Caenorhabditis elegans: one gene and its partners. The protein of the gene in region 1 interacts with the protein of each later gene in a pairwise test. Each region holds a gene or a part of one and is shown in the gene's direction. Other genes may lie near its edges.

Region 1 (7,056 bases):
CTAGTCGGTTGCATCTAGCCTCTGGATATTGTCCAGCTCTGTTTCAATTTTTAAGCGCTATGCGCTGCGGATCGGGGAGTCAGGTACCCCTACTGGGCTTTAGTTTAAGCCGTCGGATCCCAGGACTGTGGCCGATAATCTAGATAGCTCCACTTCCCAGTGAGCCTAGGGCAGGACTCGAACCCGTGATCTTTTGATTGCTAGCGATCACCATTACTCGCCGTAATTTGCCTTAAAATCTTTAAGCTTAACATAATTGTTTCTTAAATAGTTTTTGTATTGGTCGGCTTCATTCCGAATCACTGCTCTCTGTCGGTTCCCCGATCCCCCCTAAGGCTTAGAGGCCAGTCTAGTCACTTTTTGCTCCAGCCGGCTTGACCTAAAAATCATACACACATAAAATGGGCCGGCCTCCTCTTAAAATTGACAGATACATCTCATAAACCAATTAAGCGGCGTCTCGTTTACAACTTGACATAATGAGGTAAAATAGGGGGCGGTGCACCTGGCTGGGGGGCACACCAACAACGATTCAATCGAAATCTTTTTTTTTGTTGTGTTTCGTTAGCATTTTTGCCCCGGTGCCCACTCCTCCTCCAATTTTTTCGACGGGTTTCTATAGACCCCATCAATCATTTGTATGACTTGTCCGGTGCAAGTCCACGCAATTCTCCTTCCTTTTTTTGCCTCCGTCCCTCACTACCACCACCACCACCACCACCGACGACGAAACGTATCGATTTAAAAGGAGAGGGAAAAAGAGCGTGCGCGCGGGCCGCCCGTTTTTCAAATTTTGTTTCGTGTCCCCCCCCCCCCCCCCACCAACACCGGGCCGGCTGGTCGGTGGTTGTGATGGTGGTGGACACACGGGTTACTGTAGTAGGCATACACATCCCCTGGTACGGTATTTGGGGAGCCAGGCGAGAGAATCGAAATAGAAGCGAAGAGCAGGGGAGCAAGAGCATCGATTGCGATACGATGCGTGGAAGAAAAAACCACTGATAACTTTTTTTTTCGAATAATGTTCGGCGCACGTAGCAAAGAGCACACCGTAAGCTTATCAGTTTATACGTCAGCCTCGTTGAGCAAAGATCTGCCTAGGTTTTTGAGTATGACTATGGAGAAGAAAAAGTAGATCAGATTGGGAAACAAAATGGCAAAACTATGTACAAATGAATCAAATTTTGTTAGCCTCTAAATTAGCTTTTTTTTATTCACTCTATTTTAGAGACTTATATCTAAGTTGTCCTTAGTCTTATTAAAAAATGTTTTACTGTAAAAATGTAGAAAAATATTTGCACAAATTTTGTCAGTTGAAAATTTTTTTTACAAGCCCTAATGGGATCGAGTTATAAGCCGTCAAAGTGGAGCAAAAAGAGGCAAGGCGGATAGAGCAGTAGCTCTTTTGCATAGAAACAGTAGCTATATTGAAAATGGAAAGCTTGTAAAAAATTGGTTTAAAAATTTGTTAGCCTCATAATTTTGGCCTTTAATTTAGGCCTTTGATTAATCTTTTGAGCTGAGCCTATTACTCTAGAATTTTTGAAACAACTCAATTCTGTCAATTCAAGCAACAAAAGCACCACACGCTACCTTCCAGGAAATCTGAAATCTATAGGTTAATCTTCTTCCCGTGTCTACCATGTTACCAAACAAAGAAAAACAGTCTGAAACTTTATCCCACTTGACACCTCCTACCCCTCCTCTTCCATATGATCCTAATCTTAATCCCCTTAGAACAAAAGGCGACGTTAATAAAGTGCAGCTGGAGTATAAGTAGATGAGGGAAACGGGGGATGTGGTGCATTGAAGGGAAAAAATGTTGAAACTTTTGTATTTTAATGTTAGCATCTCTATGTCTCTACTCTCTGATTATTGATAAGGAAAATGTGTCAAAAAATGACTGTGCTCTCTGGAAGAGGCGAAAGGTTGCGATATTTTATTACATTCATAGGTGCACATTTAGTTGACAATCTGGAAAGTGTAGTTTCAGAAGGATCTTGTTTAATTAATTAATTTTTTGTGGAAACTTGGAAATAGCTGACTAGGTTTGGTAGAGCTTTTTTGATTCCTGATAATGAATTTGAAAAATTAGGACATTGTCCGCAATTTCCTTAGTAGGCTTGCACCCGTCTTGCTCCACTTTAACAGCTTCTATCTCAGCTCTCTTTGATTTTATCAGAAAAATTTTAACTGACAAAATATGCGCAAAATGTTTTTCTATATTTTACCAGTTAAACATTTTTTGATCCAATCAAAAGCAACAGAGATATAGGCCGTCAAAATAGTTTCTCACATTTTCGGTGGAGCAAATTTCTTTCAGAAACCGAACTCACTTTTAGATTTTTTTTTAATTTCCAAACTAGTCACATTTCCTCAGCTCATGCTCATTCACATGACAAAAAACTTCCGGTGAAACTGGCGGTATAATGAAACTTTTTTTTCAGTCTCATACCGTACATTACATAAACCTTATCAAATAAAAAGAAACTAGTTCCAATCTTCATTCTTTCCACTTTATTTTTCCTTAGCACTTACATTTTTTTTGTTCGAATTTCAAAAATATAATGAGAACAGCTTTGTGCACCTAGTGGGGGCAAAAACGAACAAAAGCAATTTATCTTCAATGCGGAGGACATTGGACACAGGACAGCAGCATGTAAACTTGAATTTGCCCTCCTGGTTCATCTCTTGCGGAGCCTATTTATTATTTTTTTTTTCGAATCCATCCCTTTTTTTTTGGTGTGCTTTTTGTGCTTTCGGGCCACGAGGACCCATCTGCTGTTGCTCACGCACAGACTCTTTTGATAAATGATAATGAGTTTCACGTTTTCTTTTTCAAAATTTAATATTTCTCTCTTGCAGGAACATGAGCGGCGACTCAAAAGTGTGGGCTCACGCGTCCGCTGACACTTGGGCTGTTCAAAATGGAATTTCGACGTACGATTTGGACACGTCGAGCATCAAACGAGAGAAGCGGGATCACAATGAGGTAAAATTTAAGAATTGGTTGTTGTTTTAATTTGCGACTAAATTTCCTAATTAAATTGATTTCTGAAAATTGAAAAAATTTTTGCCGATTAAAAAATTCTTTAGGATCTTCACATTGTAGTTTAAGAAATTCAAAAATCAATTTTTAGAATTAAAAATAATTTTATAAATCGAGCTTTGAAGGGTTTTGTATTGTCTGAAACTTCAAAACTTTTGGAATTTCGGAAAAAAAAATGAAAAAAATGTTCAAAATGAACTGTAATTTTTCAGTTCTGTTACGATAAAATGCTTTCAGAAAATTGATAAAATCTATAAAATCAAAATTGTAAAAATTTTAGAGTTTCGAAATTGGTTTTTCATTGAAATATAAATTTCAAGAAACCGGGAAAAAATATTGTAATATTTCGCAAAAATTTGAAACATCACATTAAAGGCACACATTGTTTTTTTTTCTGAGTTGGTCTCGCCACAGGAGCTAAATTCAACAGATTTTTTTTCATTTGACATAGGAAAACAAATTTCAAATTCGGAAATCCACTAAAAATTCAGAATTTATTATGAAAAAAGTATATTAAAGGTGGAATAGCGCCAGTGGGAATTTTGTCTAAATACACTTATAATGATCCAAAACGACCGAATATTATAATAAAACACCCCACAAAATTTTAGCTTTTTCATAATTTCCGTTCAAACTTTTGCCAAATTGCCAAATTTTTGAAAAATATGAGCTTTCGAGGAAATCCAAAGCAATGTCGCATGTTTCGCCCCCTACAATGTTTCAACACGAATAATTAAAATAAGCTTAAAGTGTAAAAAATGTAGGAAAAAACTTTTTTTGGTCGACTTCCAAAATTATGAGTAACAAAAACTGAGTAATTGTCACTTTTTGACCGCAAATAAAAAAATTTAAGAAAATTTTTGATTGTTTTGATGTTTTTGTTTGATGTGTTTGTTTGATGATGTTTTATTACGATATTCGGTCATTTTGGGACCATAGGAGTGGTTTTTAACAATTTCCCCATTGGCGCTACTCCACCTTCAACAACTACCATAAAAATCTAAGAACATATTTTTTGGGTTTACAACCTACCAGTTAAAGTTCATAGAGCTAGTTCCACACATCCACGATATAATATGCAATTTAACAGCCGATGATCCGATTATCAATATCAACAGCATAAAAGCAATAACAAAATCCTGATAATTTTCACACAAATTGTCCGCCGCTTTTATCTTTTCTCTCCTCATTCTTCTTCGTCTCATCATCGCTCCCCCCCCCCCCCCCCCCCCCCCCACCGACCGATTTATCTCTTTTAATCACATTAATCATGTGTTTCTTATCGAGGGTGGAAAATTGGAAAATTGATAGGCGACATGGAATTTGGCTGCCAAGAATCGGGTACTACTTGGTAGAAAATGTAAATTTGTGTTAGCTGGAAAACCTGAGGTCCCCCACACTTGACTTTTTGCCTCGTCTCGCTAAAACAAAAAAAAGAGGAAAATGCAATGCATGTATTTTTTCGTCGTCGTCGTCGTCGTCGTTTTCTTCGTGTTTGACTTCTTCTACTCCTCTCCAAATTTGCCTTCTCACCCTCCTCTCACACCCGGGGTCTACTGTACCGAATTGAGTGCCTATTGGCGCAATAGGGCGGGGCCCCGGCGCATCGCTCTCTCTCTCACTCACTCCTTCTCTCGAGGGGGGCTAACAGGGGAAAATAGACTGAGAGAGAGAGGAGAAGGCAAGCGAGTCGATCTGCCCCCCGGTTGCCCGTTTCTCTCTCTTTCGGTGGTTTCTCGTATTTTTCCCCCACCAGGGAGAGTCAGAGAGAGGGAGCCCCGCCCACATTCACCCCACCAACCCTCCCCCCAACGATCGGACAAGATTGACATACAACCGTTTTGAAGTGTGTGAGAAGTTGTCATTTTCGATATTCATCTGTCTGTCATATTATTTACGTTCGTTCCATCATCATCGACATCACACGCAGGGCAGAGAAGAACACACGCCGCCACCGCCGGCCCATCAAATCGGCACACTAATCAATCGATCAACGAGAGAAGAAGAAGAAGGGGCGGGCGACAAGCTCTGACCATCATCGTGTGTGTGACAGACTGACTGACTGACACCCCGTTGTGGAAAGAGTTTTCGATCCCGACACGACCATCGTTCATCTTATTCAGCAAGGCCCCGTGTGTCGGCAACGACGATGGCGCAGAGGGTACTTCTTCTTCTTCTTCTCCTTCATTCCGTTTCCCCTCTGCTTCTTCTGACTTTGACATGATACCAGAAAGAGCGCCATCCCTTTTTCCTTTTCTCCTCTATAATTTATCGTTGTGTTGGGTGGTGGCTCGAGCTCATTCTTGGGTTTCCAATCAGCCATTGCGCCCCCCACCGCGCCGTCGCTGTCGCTTTTTTCCCGCTTTCTAGATCTCAAAATTGCAATTTTTAGGTGTTCGCCTTGTTTTAAGCGCTGGTTAGTTACAATATAGTTTCCCAAGCTTCAGAATATAGAAAAACTTGACCCCAAATACCTCGAAAAGTCGTATCTCTGCTCATCTCTAGAAAATCAGTGAATATAATACTTTAAAACTATAGTTCTAGAAAAAACAAATATTTTGTCAGCTTAGAACTTTTTGTTTTAACTGAAAATTACAATGAGCTGCCAAATTGAAGCTACGGTCTGCAAGACTAACAGTTGCACCCCATCGTCCAACTTTGACAGCTTATATCTCAGTTTTCGTTCATCCTATATAAAAATTGTCAACTGGCAAAATCCGTATTATTTCTTTTTCTATAATTTTGTAGTTGACTATTTATTTATATCTTCTAATTGAACCGTGATATAACTTTTCAAAGTGAGGTAGTGAGGTGGAATACTATCGACTTTTGCAAATCGTTAAAATAACACCAGTGAATATTTCAAAATATAAGTACTTATATTAAGCCCCTCATTCTTAAATTTTTCCTTGCATCGATTAGTTTTAGTTTTAGTTTCCGAAGCCAACACAAGAATCACAAATAGTTTTACGATCTTACCGACAGTATCACTTTTTCTCGGGAATCATTTGAAAAAAGATAAGAAAATGTCCCAAATTCCACCCCTTTTCCCCGTCTTCCCCGCTGACTAATAAAACCCATTAAAATGATTTTGATGAGCTTGGGCTACTGCTTAGAAAAAATGCCTATGACCACCACCACCAATGGTTCCAAAAAGTGTCAAAAAATTGGCCTCTTTAGTTATCAATACAATTTATCAATTAATCAATTTGAGAGACAAGACACAGAAAAAAGAAAAAAGAAAAAAAAATAGGAAAGCGTGGTTTCAATTTCTCACTTTATCCTTCCACCGTTATCCCCGTTCACATCTTCTTTTACCCGAATCGGGGGGCCGAGAAGATTTATTTCGTCAAAAAATCCGCCTATCATCTTGCCGAAATCTGGAACGGCGCCCCTTTGTACCGAAATTTCGAAAAAAAAAAGATTTTGGAGGAAAACTAAAATTATTGATTTTTTTTTTGCAAAATTTTTGCTAGCCATGTCAGAAGAAGAGATAAGATTTTACCCATAAATCCCTCACATATTTAGGCGCCTTTTAATAAAATTATCTAATCTTATCCATATTTTTTCAGCAGTTCAACGATGGATATGGTCCACCACCGGGCTCGGCGAGCGCCGACCCAGCCAGTTATATTGCCGATCCGGCGGCGTTTTACAATTTGTACACGAATATGGGTGGCGCGCCGACGTCAACTCCGATGATGCACCATGAGATGGGTGAAGCCATGAAACGGGATAAGGAGTCTATTTATGCGTGAGTTTTTTTTGAATTTTAATTTTATAAAGTCTGCCTACAAGGCCTGCCTTGTGCCTGTTTTTTTTTCAAAATTAAACATTCAACAAGTCATCAAAAATTTGTGAAAAAAATTCAAAAGTAGGCGGTAGGCAGGCAAAACATAGGTCCTCATGTTTGGAGACGTGCCTGAGAAGCTGAAGCTAAAAAATTTTGACGTAAAAAAAATTAAAAAATTTCAAAATTTTCTGCTTCTAAATTTCGTTAAAATTAT
Region 2 (8,483 bases), on another chromosome or scaffold:
CTAAGATCCACCCTGAGTTCTTTAGGATCTCTGCGATCTTTCAGCAGCTCCTTCAATCAATCAATAAATACATTCACTCCTAATCACATATCAGTTCTTCCAGACCTCCACCACATCTCCACCATCATCATCATCCCAAGTACAAGCGGTCATCGAAGCAGTCGCCACACCATCATCCCAAAGCCAAGACAGTTCAATGTTTGAGAAAACCGAGACGAGTGGTGATCCGAACGCGGCGCGATGCTCCAACTGCCGAACCGACAAGACAACCGCGTGGCGACGTGACGCCGAGGGGAAGCTTGTCTGCAATCCGTGTGGGCTCTACTATCGATTGCACAAGGTTTGTTCGTCGTGTTATTCATTAGCAGAAAGATATTAGCAGCGACAGTAGAGTAGCAGCAGTAACAGCTTCTAATGGGGGGAATAAGAGAGTGTTTGTTATCTGATGCGAATAGAAGGAAACAACCTAGTTAAGATAGCGGCAAAATGAGGGGAAAATAGGAGTGAAGGAGAGGGGAGATTGAAATATGAGATTAGCTTCTTCTTCTTCTCCATCTTCTTCGTCTTCTTACTTTTTATGTGTTAGTTGTGCGACTGATATTGATCCGAAGACGATTTCTAGGTCAGTTTGGCTAGATTAGGATTTTCTGATCCTTAAAGGCTCTAAGATCTAAGCTCCACAAGCTATCCTAGATCTTATCAGAAGGTTCTCGGGTCCTGCCGATCCTTGAAGGCTGAAGATTCGCTCTATCCAGGTTCTAAAGCTGCTCTAATCGTTCTGGAGAATGTTCGGATCCTGGTGATCCTAGATAGGCCAGAGAGCCTGTGATAACCCTCTTAGCCTGGCAATCCTGGGCTTCAGGTGAAGATTTCAGATCATCTGATCGTCCCATATGCGATCCTGATCCTTATCAGAAGCTCTGAGTTACTTGGTTCTTGTTGAAGATCCCCGCATTATCAAGAATTTCGAACTCTACCACCCCAGTAGGTCAAAAGTACAGTACCTCCACCTTCTCCACCTCATCATCATCATCATCTCCATCATCATCGATACAGTATCTACCTTTCTTTCAATTTCCATCACTTCAACCATTATGTGGTCGTCGTCATCGTCGTCGTCTCCACCTCGATAATTAGCGTATCGGCTGCGGCGGCGGCGGCGGCGGCGTGCGTGCCGCAGAAGGAGACGAGTCAATGATTACCTGTAACTCGAATAGACTTTCCACCTCTTCCTTTTCTTATTCATTTTAGGAGAAGAAACGACGACGACGACGTCTTATTGTTCACCACCGGCACCGACAATTAGGGGGAGATGAAACTAGTGCACGCGTGCGCGCGCAAACAATCCAGCCTCAACGTCGTCATCATCATCACCAATGACTTTTTGGTTCCGCACGCCAATCCATATCGAAACTTTGGCGGCGGGGGTAGTTGTAGGGAGGATCCTGAGGATTCTGAGGATCTTAAGAAGCACCAGAGCTTCACTGTTTCCTGGAATAGGTCGATGATTCCCGAGGTGGAACATCAGAGAATAACCTAGCAAGGATATCCCAACAATCTTGAGGCGATCGCTCAAGATTCTGATGATCTGTAGAAGTTTCATTGGTTCCAGTGATTCGAGGATCCTCAAGATTCCGGTGTAAGGTGTAAGATCAGCTGATCCATACCCAAGAAGACCTTCCATTAGTTCCACTGGATCAAAAATTCGGCAATTACGGAGTGATCCCCCTCTCACCACCACTTTGTATCTCCCCCCTCCTTTTGCTGATACACGTACACTCACTCTCACCCTAATTGCCCACCCCGCCGCCGTCTCCGAAGATGGAAGACCACCACCACCCCTATTGTTGTCTCTATTGTGTGTGCAAATTGAGAAGAACGTTCCGCCCTTAGATGGATGTGTGTGTGTGTATCTAATATGGCCAAGGTTATGAAATTGGGAGAAATGATAATTGGCGGTGCAGGAAACGGGACGATCACGACCGGACAGACCAGATGTCTGATTAGGAGACAGGTGGATCCAAGAATCTGACTTAGGATCCGGTGAGGCTATCTAGGACAGAAGCTTGGTGATAATGGAGATCCCAACGAATTCTTTGATATGCTAGAACAACCGGAAGTCTTTAGATCGAAGCTTAAGCCAAAGGAGACCTCCGATCCTTCCGATCCTTCCATCGCTAGGATCCCCTACAGCCTCTAGTAAGAACATTCACATCATCTGCGGATCCTTCTAAAATTTACCAGCGCGAAGATCTATCCGAAGGATCTTTCCACCGATATCCTGAGATCTGAATTTTCTGGGAAAATCTACAATTCTACAGAATCCTTTGATAAGATAATTCTGACCCTTATGCTGCTTGGATTTCTGCGCGATCGATTGTGGCGATCAACCACACTGGGATACTTAGGATCTTAAGGATCCTCACAGTACCCCCCCCCCCCCTCTTAGAAGCTCCTAAATGCCTAAGGATCCTTCCAAAAGCTCACCCAGATCCTTCCCACCTTAACAACTAATTCATTTTCCAATTTCCAGGTTCGCCGACCAATAGAAATGCGCAAAAACCACATCCAACAACGCTACCGCCGAAAGAACAAGGAAAAAGAGTCGTCGGCGGCAACACAGATCTTCAACCAACTCCTCACACAAATGCCGACGATGGCGACCGGCGGAGTGAGCACTGATGGAGCCATCAACACATTCAATTTACTCGAGCAAATCTCGCAATTCACGCAGGCTCAAGAGCTCATGAATAGCAGTGCCACATTTTAATTATCATTATTATTTTTTCCCCCTTCACATCCTTTTTATGCACAATACCTTTATGTAATTTTTCTTATTTATTGAAATTTGAAATTTGAAATTCTCCATAATGTATTATTGATTAATAAGCAATCCTTCATCATTCCATTACCCCTTCAGAAAAATACAGTATTAAATAATTTTCCGCCAATTTTCTAATAATAATTGTGCCCCATTTCCCCCAACTTCACCGCGTGTTTCCGACTGTGAGCTTTACCTCCTCCTCCGACAACTTATAATAATAGTTAGGCTCCGCCCCATTCTGCAGGAGGCCCCTCCCCCAATTCTCTGTGCATGGTTGTGTTATATTCACCTCCTCCCACCACTTTGTCATTTCACTTGAATCATCATTTTTGCATTTTCATATTTATTTTGAAAAAATCTCATCTCACTCTCTCTCTCTCTCCTTATCTCTTGTGGTTTTTGACGGATAAACGTATGTATCTCATTCTATCACTTTTAGCTTTTAACTTCGTCCTCTCGCTCTCTCGCACTCTCCCCTCGCTCCACAGTCTCTCTCCGTCTCTCTCTCTCTCTCGCTCTCCACTTCTTCTTCTTCTAAAACAACGTCACACGTGATTTACAGATGACGTCGTCGAAGGAGGAGATGCCGGATGAGATGGTGAGCCGGGAGGTGGAGGAGGAGATGGAGGATCGGGTTGAGGAGACGGCGACTACAGCAGCAGCGTGCACCGGATGCGCTCAGCTTCACAAGGATATTCGACAGGTGCATATTATTTTGTTTAGCAGTAGGCTCACGCGCCTGCCTACTCTCGACATTTGGCTCCAGCTTCTTGCCCAAGTTTGGCCTAAAAAATATTAACTTGGATAAGAAGCTGGCTAAACTTGGGCAAAAGTTGGGCAAGACTTTGGCAAAACTAAAATCTGGTCAGACTTCTACCCAAGTATAACTAAAAAAAAGAAAATTTTGGACCAAAGTTTGGTAAGAGTTGGGGGAAACTTTGGTGCAGCCTGAATCCAAGTTTTGCCCAAGTTTTGCCCAATTGCCAACTAGAGCCAAATGCCGATAGGCAGGCATACATGAAGTAATTCTCGGATTACCAGAAACATTAAATTATTTTTCATTTCATTGAGAATTTCTGAAATTCTAGGAATTTGAATCGCCGCGCTGAAAGCTCCGGTCTATTCGTTTTCTTACAGGATGTTTCAAAAATGATGTCGAAAATTGACGAAGTGTGCGGAAGGCTTGAAGCTCTTATCAGTGAAAAGGAAAAAGTCCTGCTTGAGCAAATGTCCGAGAGCGGAAGCGAGGAGAAGGTGAGATTTTTGACAACTTTTAGCGGCCATGTTGCAAAAGTTCTGCGGGAAGGAGCTGGTGGAACTTTAGAAATAAGCCAAAATGGGCTGAAACTGAGCTTATTTCGCAGCATTTTCCCGCCGCCTGACAATTTTCGAGAAAGAAACTGAATCTGTTTTAAAGTTATTTTCTCAGTTTTTCGCGATTCTGAGCCATTCCCAAGAAACTTGTTTATTTTTGCATCCACGTTGATCATAACTTCCTGCTGTGTCCCGTGGTGCCAGGCTGTCCCATCACGGTTTGATCTACAAAAAAATGCGGGATTTTCTTTGTTTCTTCAAGTAATGTGACGTCAGCACGTTCTTAACCGTGCTAAATCAGTTGAGAAGTCTGCGTCCGAATTCTCGCGATTCTCGTAGATCTACACGTAGATCAAACCGAGATGGGACACTCTGATACCACATGTCATAATTGTAATTTCTGGAAATCAAGAAGACCAAATCACGAAAATTTTAAATTTCAGTATCCCCCATCACCAACTGAAAGCCGTGCTTCTCCGTCATCAGTCGGAAAGTCGAATGGAGGGTGCCGCAAACGGAAACCCACCAAAGAATCTGTGAATCGACATTTGGAGAATGGAGGTAGTGACTCGCCTTTTGAGAAAATCACAAGGAATATTTCGACGCCGGTTTCCGCGAGCTCTCCGTTTCCCGATTTTCAGAATTTCAACGGGTTTGTGTGTAAGTTTCATTGACTTTAGAAAAATAAAGGTTCTTAGAGTGATAAAGCTTTTAATAGAACCACATAGACCTTGGAAAAGACCTGAAAGAGCTGCCATGCCTACCTGCGCAGGATATCCCAAGATCTTTGTACAAATCTTTGAAAACTTTTTAGTCGATCCCATGGCCAATCCACAAAATATGATGAACTTGCTAAACCTTGTGCAGCAACAACAACATCAAGCCGCTGCTCATCACCATGCTCAACAGCAGGCGAGAGAGCAGAAGCCCGTAAAAGCCGAAGAGTCAAAGCAGCAGGAACCGTCGGAGAACAGAAACCAATCGCCAAGTGCGTCTGTTGAGCAGACTCTGCTCGATCAGCTCTCTATGCAGTTCAACGGGGTTAGTAGCATAGTCTTCAGACCAGACTGCTAAACCAAGACCTAAACCAAGTCTAAATTCCAGAAATCACCATCACCAACAGTACACGCATCCACCGCCGCGGCGGCTGGTAGCTCGGAGGACGATACAAGTGCCAACTCGTCCATCTCGAAATGCTCCAATTGCTCCACAATAAAAACGACAGCGTGGCGAAGGGATTTGGAGGGGAAGCTTGTTTGTAACGCGTGTGGATTGTATTATAGGCTGCATAGGGTGAGTTGGCTGAAAATCTGAGGGTTACTGTAGGTACAGTGGTTACTGCTGGAAACTCTTACAGAGATTGAGCCCATAACTACTGTAGAGAAGTACATGACGCCTAGCTAGCACTCAAAAAACCAAAAAAGGAGCTTCAATAGTGTTGACCCAATTCAAAACACACAACCTTGACAATATATATATATCCGTCGTCGCGTTTCAAAAGATAATTAGAAGATTGCGCGTACGCTCGTCCTCCGATTACCTCTTAGAAACCCATAGGGGCTGCTGATGTTATGTACTACTTCTAGCTACTGGTCCACTACCACCACCACTACCCATCTCGAAAGGTCGTTTCCGACTACGACGACTAATTATCGATGAAAATTGAATGGGTTTTGAGTGAGTGAGGAGGATCTTGATGATGGTTTTTGTGGTCAAGAAAGAGAGAGAGAGAGAGAGAAAGAAGGAAAAAAACCAAAAGTGTGAGCGAGTTAACGAGTTAAGGGAAGTATTGAATGAATCTGGAGAAGGGATTTATAGCTTAGGTTTGGCTTATATTAGGCTTAGGCCTAGGCCTACATTTAGGCGTAGGCATAGGCTCAGGCTTAGGCTTTGGCTCGGCCTTAGGCCTAAGCTTAGGCTTAGGCATAGGCTTAGTCTTAAGCTCAGACTGAGACTTAGTCTTAGGTCTAGGATTTGTTTTAGGCTTAGGCTTAGGCTTATGCCCAGGCTTCAGCTTAAGCATCGGCTGAGGCTTAGACTTAGGCTTATGCTAAGGCTGAAACTTAGCCTTAGGCTTAGGCTTAGGCTTAAGCTTAGGCCCCCGAACTACTTTTTGATGTTACCGCTGGTTTTGAGAAACTACACGTCCGAAAAGTCTGGAACCTAAAACCTTGACAAATGACATTCGGATAACCGGATGTTCGGTTTGTGAGCCCTAACTGAACCAAATAACTCGCAGCATTAAAACGTTTAGGATTCATCTGTGGAGAGACCCAATTTCAGACCTCATTTTTCAATATTCTCCCCCCTGAACTCTACAAATTTTCAGACACATCGGCCGGTTCACATGCGAAAAGATTTTATCCAACAGCGATTCCGTAGAAGAATGAGGGAAGATGAAAATGTGAGCCGTTGTTTTGCTCAATTTTTTTCCAGCGAAAAAAAAACTCTTTGGAAAAAACTCTAAACTTTTCAGCCAGCAACCAGTCAAGCAGCCGTTTTCAGTCAACTTCTCGGCCTACCGAGCATGGCTAACGGTGGAGCCAACGCGCTGACCTTTCTCGAGCAAATTAATCAGTTGAATCAGTCACAGGAGCAGCGCAAGTCTCCCTGATTATTATATTTTATTATCTCGTGTGATATATCCCCCAATGTCCCCTCCCGATCAACTGTGAGCTTTATCAGTATTTCCGTTTTCACTTTTCCAACAAAAAATCCCACTGACCCCTGCGGTGGTCTCTGAAAAAACAAAGAATCTCAACATTTTTTTTTTTGCAATTTAAATTTTTATTGTATTCCCCCTTATTAGAAGTGCAGGTCTCTTTCACTTTGTCGCAATATCTGAACAGAATAATCCCAGCACCGAGTTTATTTGTGTGCATATCCATGTTCCTTTAATAAATATTATCATGCAGGAAGGAAACTTTTAAAAAGGTTTAAGCTAGTTTCAGATCAATGAAAGCTTTAAAAAAGGGGAAACTTTTGGGTCCCGCCACGAAAACCTACAGTAACCCGGAGAACTTCATGGCGGGACCCTGTAATTTACAAAGGAAAACATGACATTATTGTATCCAGATTGAAGCTCTCAGATTGATGAATTCAATGTTTAAAATTATATCCCACCACGAAATTCCCAGGGTTACTGTAGGCTTTCGTGGTGGCCCAAATTTTCTCAAATTTCAAAGAAGTATGGGAAGCTCATATTTAATTAACATCTCTCAATTGCATAAAAACCTTAAAATCTGAAATTTCGAAATTTGAAAAAAAATTTGGGTCTCAAAACGAAAATTCTGAAAATTTGTCCAAACCTCTGGATTTTCAATTTTTGGTATTTTTCCTAGATTCAGCTCGCCGAGAGCTTCAAAATAAGTATAATCATGGCTAGGTTTTGATAGTTTTGAAAATTTTTGGGTCCCGCCACGAAATCCCTCGGGTTACTTTCGTGACTTTCGTGGTGGGACCCAAATTTGTCATGATAAGACTTAAATTGAAGCTATTAGTGAGCTGATTTCAAATATATCTGTAAAAATGGACATTTTTGGGTCCCGCCACGAAAACCTACAGAAACCCGATGTTTTTTGAGTGTCACTGTTATGTCTGTTATTAGTTGGCCAAGTGTTTTAAAATAAGTATAATTATGTCTATGTTCAATCAATTTTCAAAAATTTTTGGTCCCGTCACGAGTTTTCGTTTCGGGACCCAATATTTTTGAAACCTTATTACAACTGATTAGATTTGAAAGTTAAAAGCAAGTATATTTAATAACTGTTATTTTAATAAACAAAAAAAATTAAATTTTTTTTTTAATTTCCGCAAATATTTGAAATTTTCACAGTTATTTTGTTATTCAGCGTATTTTAAAACTTTAATTTTATTAAAATTAGTATTAAAAAATCTTATAAAAATGTTTAAAAATCCAAAATTTGACAAATTCAAGGTCCCGCCATGAAAACTACCGTAACCCGGGGATTTTCGTGGTGGGCCCTGACTTTTTTAAAATTTTAACAACTTAATGAAACATTTGAGTTCATCAATCGGAGAGCTTCAATTTGAATACAACCATATAAGGGTCCCGCCGAGAAACTCAATGGGTTACTGTAGTTTTTCGTTGCGAGACCCAAGAATTTCGGAAACTAATGGAAATGGGTCATGATTATACTTATCGTTAAGCTCCAGGCGAGATGAGTGCAAATTCGGAAGAAAAATTTTGAAAGTTTTTGAAGAATTTATTTTGTTTTACTTTTTTTTCGGAATTTTTTAAGTTTCAAATAAATGTTTTTTCACTCGATTTTTTAATCAAGTTTATTCTAAATTTTCAAAGTTTTCAATAAAAATAAAAATTAAT
Region 3 (5,645 bases), on another chromosome or scaffold:
TACCCGGGGGTGTTGCGCAAAGGGAAGATGTTTATTTGTCTGAAACAGTGGGGGTTCTGTTTGGGATGAGAGCCGGGAGTATCATTTCTTCAAGGAGGGGATTAATGGAAATGCACAATTCACACCGGTTGGAGTCTTCAACACAGAGGTTATGAGGATACCGACATGGGAAATTACATAATAGAATTTTTAAAAATTTACTTGGAAATTACAAAAATTTCCACATTCCTCCCATCATTCCACTGCTTGGGACAAAGTTTCGCATACCTATAAGCCGATATGTCCTTTTTGTTTCAAAACCGAGACATTGGCGTCAAAAACTTCATGATAACTGCATCTTGTCAGCATTATCGCTCCTCCCTAACTTGCAGTAAGCGGATTAATTGTACCCCTAAAACTACCTACTAAATAGAAGCCTACGCTTTTTGTTATCATTACCCTTTTTTCTTCTTCACACAGAAAGAACCTTGTTCTGCACGATTCGCACACCTTTTCCGGAAATCATCATTGACTCACACCTTATTTCATTTTGTGATTGACTTTGGCATCACTACGGTGGATAATCTTCAGGTAAATAGAATTTTGATTCATTTTTTCCAAGTCTTTTTTATCATTAAACTATCATCCCATCTACTCACCTCTAGTGTTTTCAAAGATAATAGTCAATTATCATTAGTCGGCATGTTGCACCAAAAGGGAACGTTTATGTAGTGAGAGTCATAAAAGGAACACGTACCACCCCAACATGATAGGTTTCATAAAAAGTTGTCGTCGTCTTTGAAACCAAATTCAAACGGAGAATAGCCAAGAAAAATGGTTTGCTCAAAAAAAAGTGGGCGGTTTTTCTGCCGCGCGGTACTCCATATTCCAAGTCATTCTCTTTTATGTCAAATTTTAATGTGTATTTTCAAAATTTCTGTTCACTATAATAGGACAGTTTACTTCCATAACTCATCATTAACGAGTAGCTAGAAAGGTGTATAACTGTCGTGCAAATGTTATCTAAATAGTGCAAGATGTCCTAAGTTGTCATCAGTCAAGTTATAAAATGTCACTTATGTTTTTGGTGTACTACAGTTACCTAATCAAAAATTTTGAATTTCTCTATAGATTCGGTTCCCGTGTGTCTAGAAAAACTTTATCCAGACCTAAAGGCGCTTTTTATGTTTCTTATCGCTCCAGACAGTTTCACGGTTTTTTAAAAGTATAGTTAGGTCTAAAACTTCTTTGAAAAGGGTGTCATGAAATCTTCAAAGATCTACTTCTACTTCTAAAGTAGGCGGTGCACGGCAGCACAGGGCCTACCGTAGTCAGTCAACCAGCGCCCGCCGAGAGAGCAGCAGCAAAGACAGTGGGCGTGTCGGAGGAGAAGACGAGCTGAACACGAGGTGGTGGCCGCCTCCGTCTGCTTCTGGGAAGCCACTCAGTTCCTCCATTCTACCAAGTATAGGCGATATTGTATGTTCTGAAAACTTGGTTCTGCAAATTTTTCAACTATTTGTGTGAGTTGTTGAAGATCTCTAACAAAAACTGTCTTAACTCAACAGTTTTATCGTTACACAGTAGCTAGCTAGCTAAGTTAGACAGTGCTCATTCGAGCACATTCTGTGAAAACTAAATTGAAAAGTACCACTTTTGGAAATTCCATATTGGAGAATCTGTTAAAAAAATCATTTTCAAGCTGAAAAATTAAGATCAAACTTTTATACAGTTTGTAGTGCCCAAATTTTCGACAAAAGTGCATATAAAATTTTGTATTAGTATTAGTCTGAACCGCTAATATGATTCAATGACAAATTTCCCGCCGTTTTACCCACATTTTTCAATTGTGTTTTGCAACCGTACGGAAGAGGGTTCTACTGTTTTTTATGTGGCCAGCATGCATCATAATTTGTATCATTTCTTGTTTTTAAACTATTATACATGAAGCAAAAAATTTTTGAGATGTTTAAAAGCGGGAAAATAGGTGGCTCGCGATACGATTTTATCATAACAATAGGTTGAGAATGATATTCTGCTCCCTGTCCGCTTTCGTTTTTCCCCATTGATACCAAAGTTTCTTTTTTGGCACCATTCTTCTTTCCACATCGCCGAAATAGAGTGAGAAAAACGGGGAGAGTCAAAGTCACAGTATCATCATATTGTCAATAGAAGAGGCCCATATTTAACTGTGATTTTTTTCTTTTTTTCTGCTAACTTTCTTCCTTCTGAAAATGTCTAATGTTTGCATATCACCGCGAGTCTTCACCCGAAAAGGCTTTCCCTTTTTCTCATTTTTCCCCTACTTTTTTCTACTTTTTCTACACTTTTCGACTCTTTTCTGCTGGTTTTCTCTATGAGTCAATATGGAAAATGTGGTTCTCATTTTCTTCAATTTCATAACTTGCAAATGAGATAGATAGCTTCTAGTCACATACACCTCTACTGTTTGGTAAACACTCCCCTAACACCTCCGTGCACGTCGGCTACCTTTGATGTAGGACCGAAGCACGGAAGCCAACCGTTTTTATAGCCGCCGTGTACTTGATAATATCATGCGCCCGAGCATCAACAAGCCATCAAAACCTTTCTACTTACCGACCAGCACAAAGAATTTCTTTCAATTTCGCCCCTCTTCCATTTCCAATCATTCGTTATCGCCGTTTCCAAAATTCAGAAGTGTTAGCGAGTCTATAAAAATTCATAGATGACGCGTGGTGTAAAATGTGAGTCGCCCTCCTCCCAAAAAAGCGGCACCATAGAGTCAAAGTATCCCACTGAGTTGTAAGTGATCCTCCTTCTTTCTTGACAGTCATCCCTACCACCACCGCAACATTGTGCTCCGCCTGTTCAGTCCTCTCCTCCTTTTAGATTTGTTTGTAGTAGATTACCCCATAAGACGATAATACTCGTTAACAAAGTGACAACTTCTCTTGAAAAGGAGCAAACAATAACTATCGCTCCTTCTTCTGAATTCTGCTCTCTTACATTGCCCAACGGTATCATCATTTTTCCCTCTTTTCAAATCGTATTTGCTCGTTCCGCTATTTTTGCGACCTCAAATCAATTTGAAATAATTGTTTTCTTTTCAGCTGGAATCAACACTAGCCCTTCCCGCACACACAAAAATGCTTCCGTGGCAACGACAAGTTCCAACATCAATTTTTCCTCAATCAAATGAACAAGTTTTTCGAATGATGCTTGCACAACAACACCTCCAACTCCAAAATTTTCTGCAGCAGAGGAAAATGGCGCTGCTTGCTATGAATCCAGAAATTCCAATGATCACCGATCTCAAGAAAGCAAAATTTGACTTCACTCACATGGCTGATTCAATTGAATCTGAACAGAAGATCAAAGAAGAAAGTGTGTCTCCAAAAATGTCCCCGACGCTCACTACTGCAGCCGTTCGACCATTTGTTCCTTACGATCAACCATGGTAAGCTCTTGTATCATAATGTACGATATGATGATAAGAAATTTTATACTGTATCATCTCAACTATTTAGTTTTAGGTTCATGATCCCTGGACGTGGAAGGACTACTGGCCGAGCAGCCCGACCAAAGAAGGAATTCATCTGCAAATATTGTGATCGTCACTTCACCAAGTCTTACAACCTCCTGATCCATGAAAGGACACATACTGATGAGCGACCATACTCGTGTGATGTTTGTGGAAAAGCATTCCGTCGTCAGGATCATCTTAGAGACCACAAGTATATCCACCAAAAGGACAGGCCATTCAAATGCGAAATCTGTGGGAAAGGATTCTGCCAATCAAGAACTCTCCTCGTCCACCGTGCAACACATGATCCAAACCGACACAGTATTGGAGCTCCAGTTGTACCAATCAAAAGTGAAACACCACTCCCTGAACTGGATCCACGAGTAACATTAATTCTTCAAAATCTCACTGATAGCTTTAATTCGACGTCTATGACATCCCCACAAATCTCACCTGATCGCTAAATTCTGCTGAGAATTAGTATTTGGCATCTAGGCTTTCTTATGAAAACGGTCAATTTTGTCATTCCTGCTTAAACATTTTCATGTTGTCCAGTATTACTTGAGGATCATCTGTTTTTTCCAATATATGCTACTCTTTTTTTTCATATGTCTATATTTTTTTCGATTTACCTTCTCTCTTCATACTTGATAGGGTCAAAGTTTTAGATTTGTGATTGTGTCAGATACAATATTGTACCAAAAATAAAACATTTTCTGAATGACGTTGCAATACGGTGTATAGAGTTTACAAGAGGGCAGCAAGGGATCATATGTGCAATATCCACGGTCGGCACCGTTTATTGCAGATGGGTGTCTGTTTTCAAACCGGAAATGATTTGAAGAGGATAGAAGGCAGCATGAGCTCCACAGCAAAGGGCTCACAATGTGCAAATTTTTGAGCTAGCTCATTGAAGTTTCAGCATTGACTATTAATTCATGAAACTGTGCACACAGATTTCATTCCAAATCTCTGAAAACCCTAATTATCTCACATATTTCCTAAATTGGTTTGAAAACCAAACTTGAAAATATTTTAACTAAGTTTTTTTGTTGGGCATTAAAGATTTAGCATAGTAAATTTTCAGACAATTAAATATATTTGAATAGTTTCATGTTGTAGTAATGTTTCGCAACATTAGTATGTCTTTGGTTTGTCGTGTGAGAAATGCTTTTATTTGTATTTTTTAGAAGATAAATTTGTTTTGCCATGCTTAGAAATAAACAAGTTCTGATTTTTTTAAATTCAGTTTTTTTTGTCTTATTCAGAAGTTTTCATTGCGATCAGACTACCACTTGGTTTGAGGGTCATTTTCGAATTTTTCGCCGGAAATCTAGTATTGATATGTGATTGAAAAGACTAAAGCATTTCTGTAACTACTATTCTACTCTGATCTTCAAAACAAAGAGCAACAGGGAGAAGAAAGTTGAAAAATCGACTAGCAATCTGCTATGGGCTTTTTGAGATTTTCAGAAATGTTTTCAAAAATCCCATTTTTTGAAAATCATGAAAATGTTTTTTAAAGTTAAATTGCATTAAAAAATGTTTTTGTGGTGTATGTTTTGTTTTTCATAATACGGAATGGACTAGAAACAAAAAATCGCTCAATTTTCACATTTACTGAATTTTAAGCTCAATTCTGACACTATTGATTAATTATTTATTCCTAATTCTAATTACGTTAAATCACACGGTTTTATACATTTTAGTGTTTTTTTAGAAAAGTTTCATATTTTCGAGTCATATTAGAGACAAACTGGCACAAATATGTTTTAAACTTGTGTGTTGTTAAGAAACTTACAACCGACGAAAACATTATTTTTTTCAATTATCTAATCATTTGTTGATATGTTCAAAAAAAAACAGGTTTATGAAAACCGTATTAAAAAATTAGTCATTTTTTGAATGAATTTTCTTGTTCAAAGTGCTCATCGGCAGCTATGAAAGGTATATTTTAAAGATTCCTATACAAAATATGTTTCTGTAATAGCAAGAATTTGAAGAGAAAATTGACTGTATTCAGAATGATTTTCAGACTGTTTCTACTGACATTTGGTAGTTCTGAGAGTTGTTGAAAAATATGGTCTATTAAAAAAATGATGTGATGATTTAAAATAATTTCGTAAACCGAACAGCAAAATGTTATTTATCATTGGAATAC

What was found. Proteins that work in one complex are often made in the same cells at the same time.
Region 2: the proteins of unc-62 (region 1) and elt-6 interact in a two-hybrid assay, tested with the Caenorhabditis elegans proteins (one large-scale study listed by BioGRID).
Region 3: the proteins of unc-62 (region 1) and odd-2 interact in a two-hybrid assay, tested with the Caenorhabditis elegans proteins (one large-scale study listed by BioGRID).

Annotation. Positions count from the first base shown.
Region 1 is NC_003283.11:4,494,598-4,501,653, forward strand, and holds the start of unc-62 (Homeobox protein unc-62), read left to right. Parts: upstream 1-2,865; 5' UTR 2,866-2,869; coding exon 2,870-2,992; intron 2,993-4,732; exon of another isoform or gene 4,733-5,198; coding exon of another isoform or gene 5,199-5,210; intron 5,211-6,621; coding exon 6,622-6,803; intron 6,804-7,056. UniProt on the Caenorhabditis elegans protein: Acts redundantly with ceh-20 and ceh-40 to perform overlapping roles during embryogenesis.
Region 2 is NC_003282.8:1,914,591-1,923,073, forward strand, and holds elt-6 (Transcription factor elt-6), read left to right. Parts: upstream 1-3,386; coding exon 3,387-3,527; intron 3,528-3,961; coding exon 3,962-4,078; intron 4,079-4,581; coding exon 4,582-4,798; intron 4,799-4,952; coding exon 4,953-5,179; intron 5,180-5,242; coding exon 5,243-5,431; intron 5,432-6,467; coding exon 6,468-6,542; intron 6,543-6,614; coding exon 6,615-6,752; 3' UTR 6,753-7,054; downstream 7,055-8,483. Other genes in the region: Putative transcription factor egl-18, read left to right, coding at 95-340, 2,534-2,770.
Region 3 is NC_003284.9:6,157,948-6,163,592, reverse strand, and holds odd-2 (Protein odd-skipped-related 2), read left to right. Parts: upstream 1-3,065; 5' UTR 3,066-3,107; coding exon 3,108-3,418; intron 3,419-3,494; coding exon 3,495-3,948; 3' UTR 3,949-4,216; downstream 4,217-5,645. UniProt on the Caenorhabditis elegans protein: May function as transcription regulator. Required for morphogenesis and function of the digestive tract.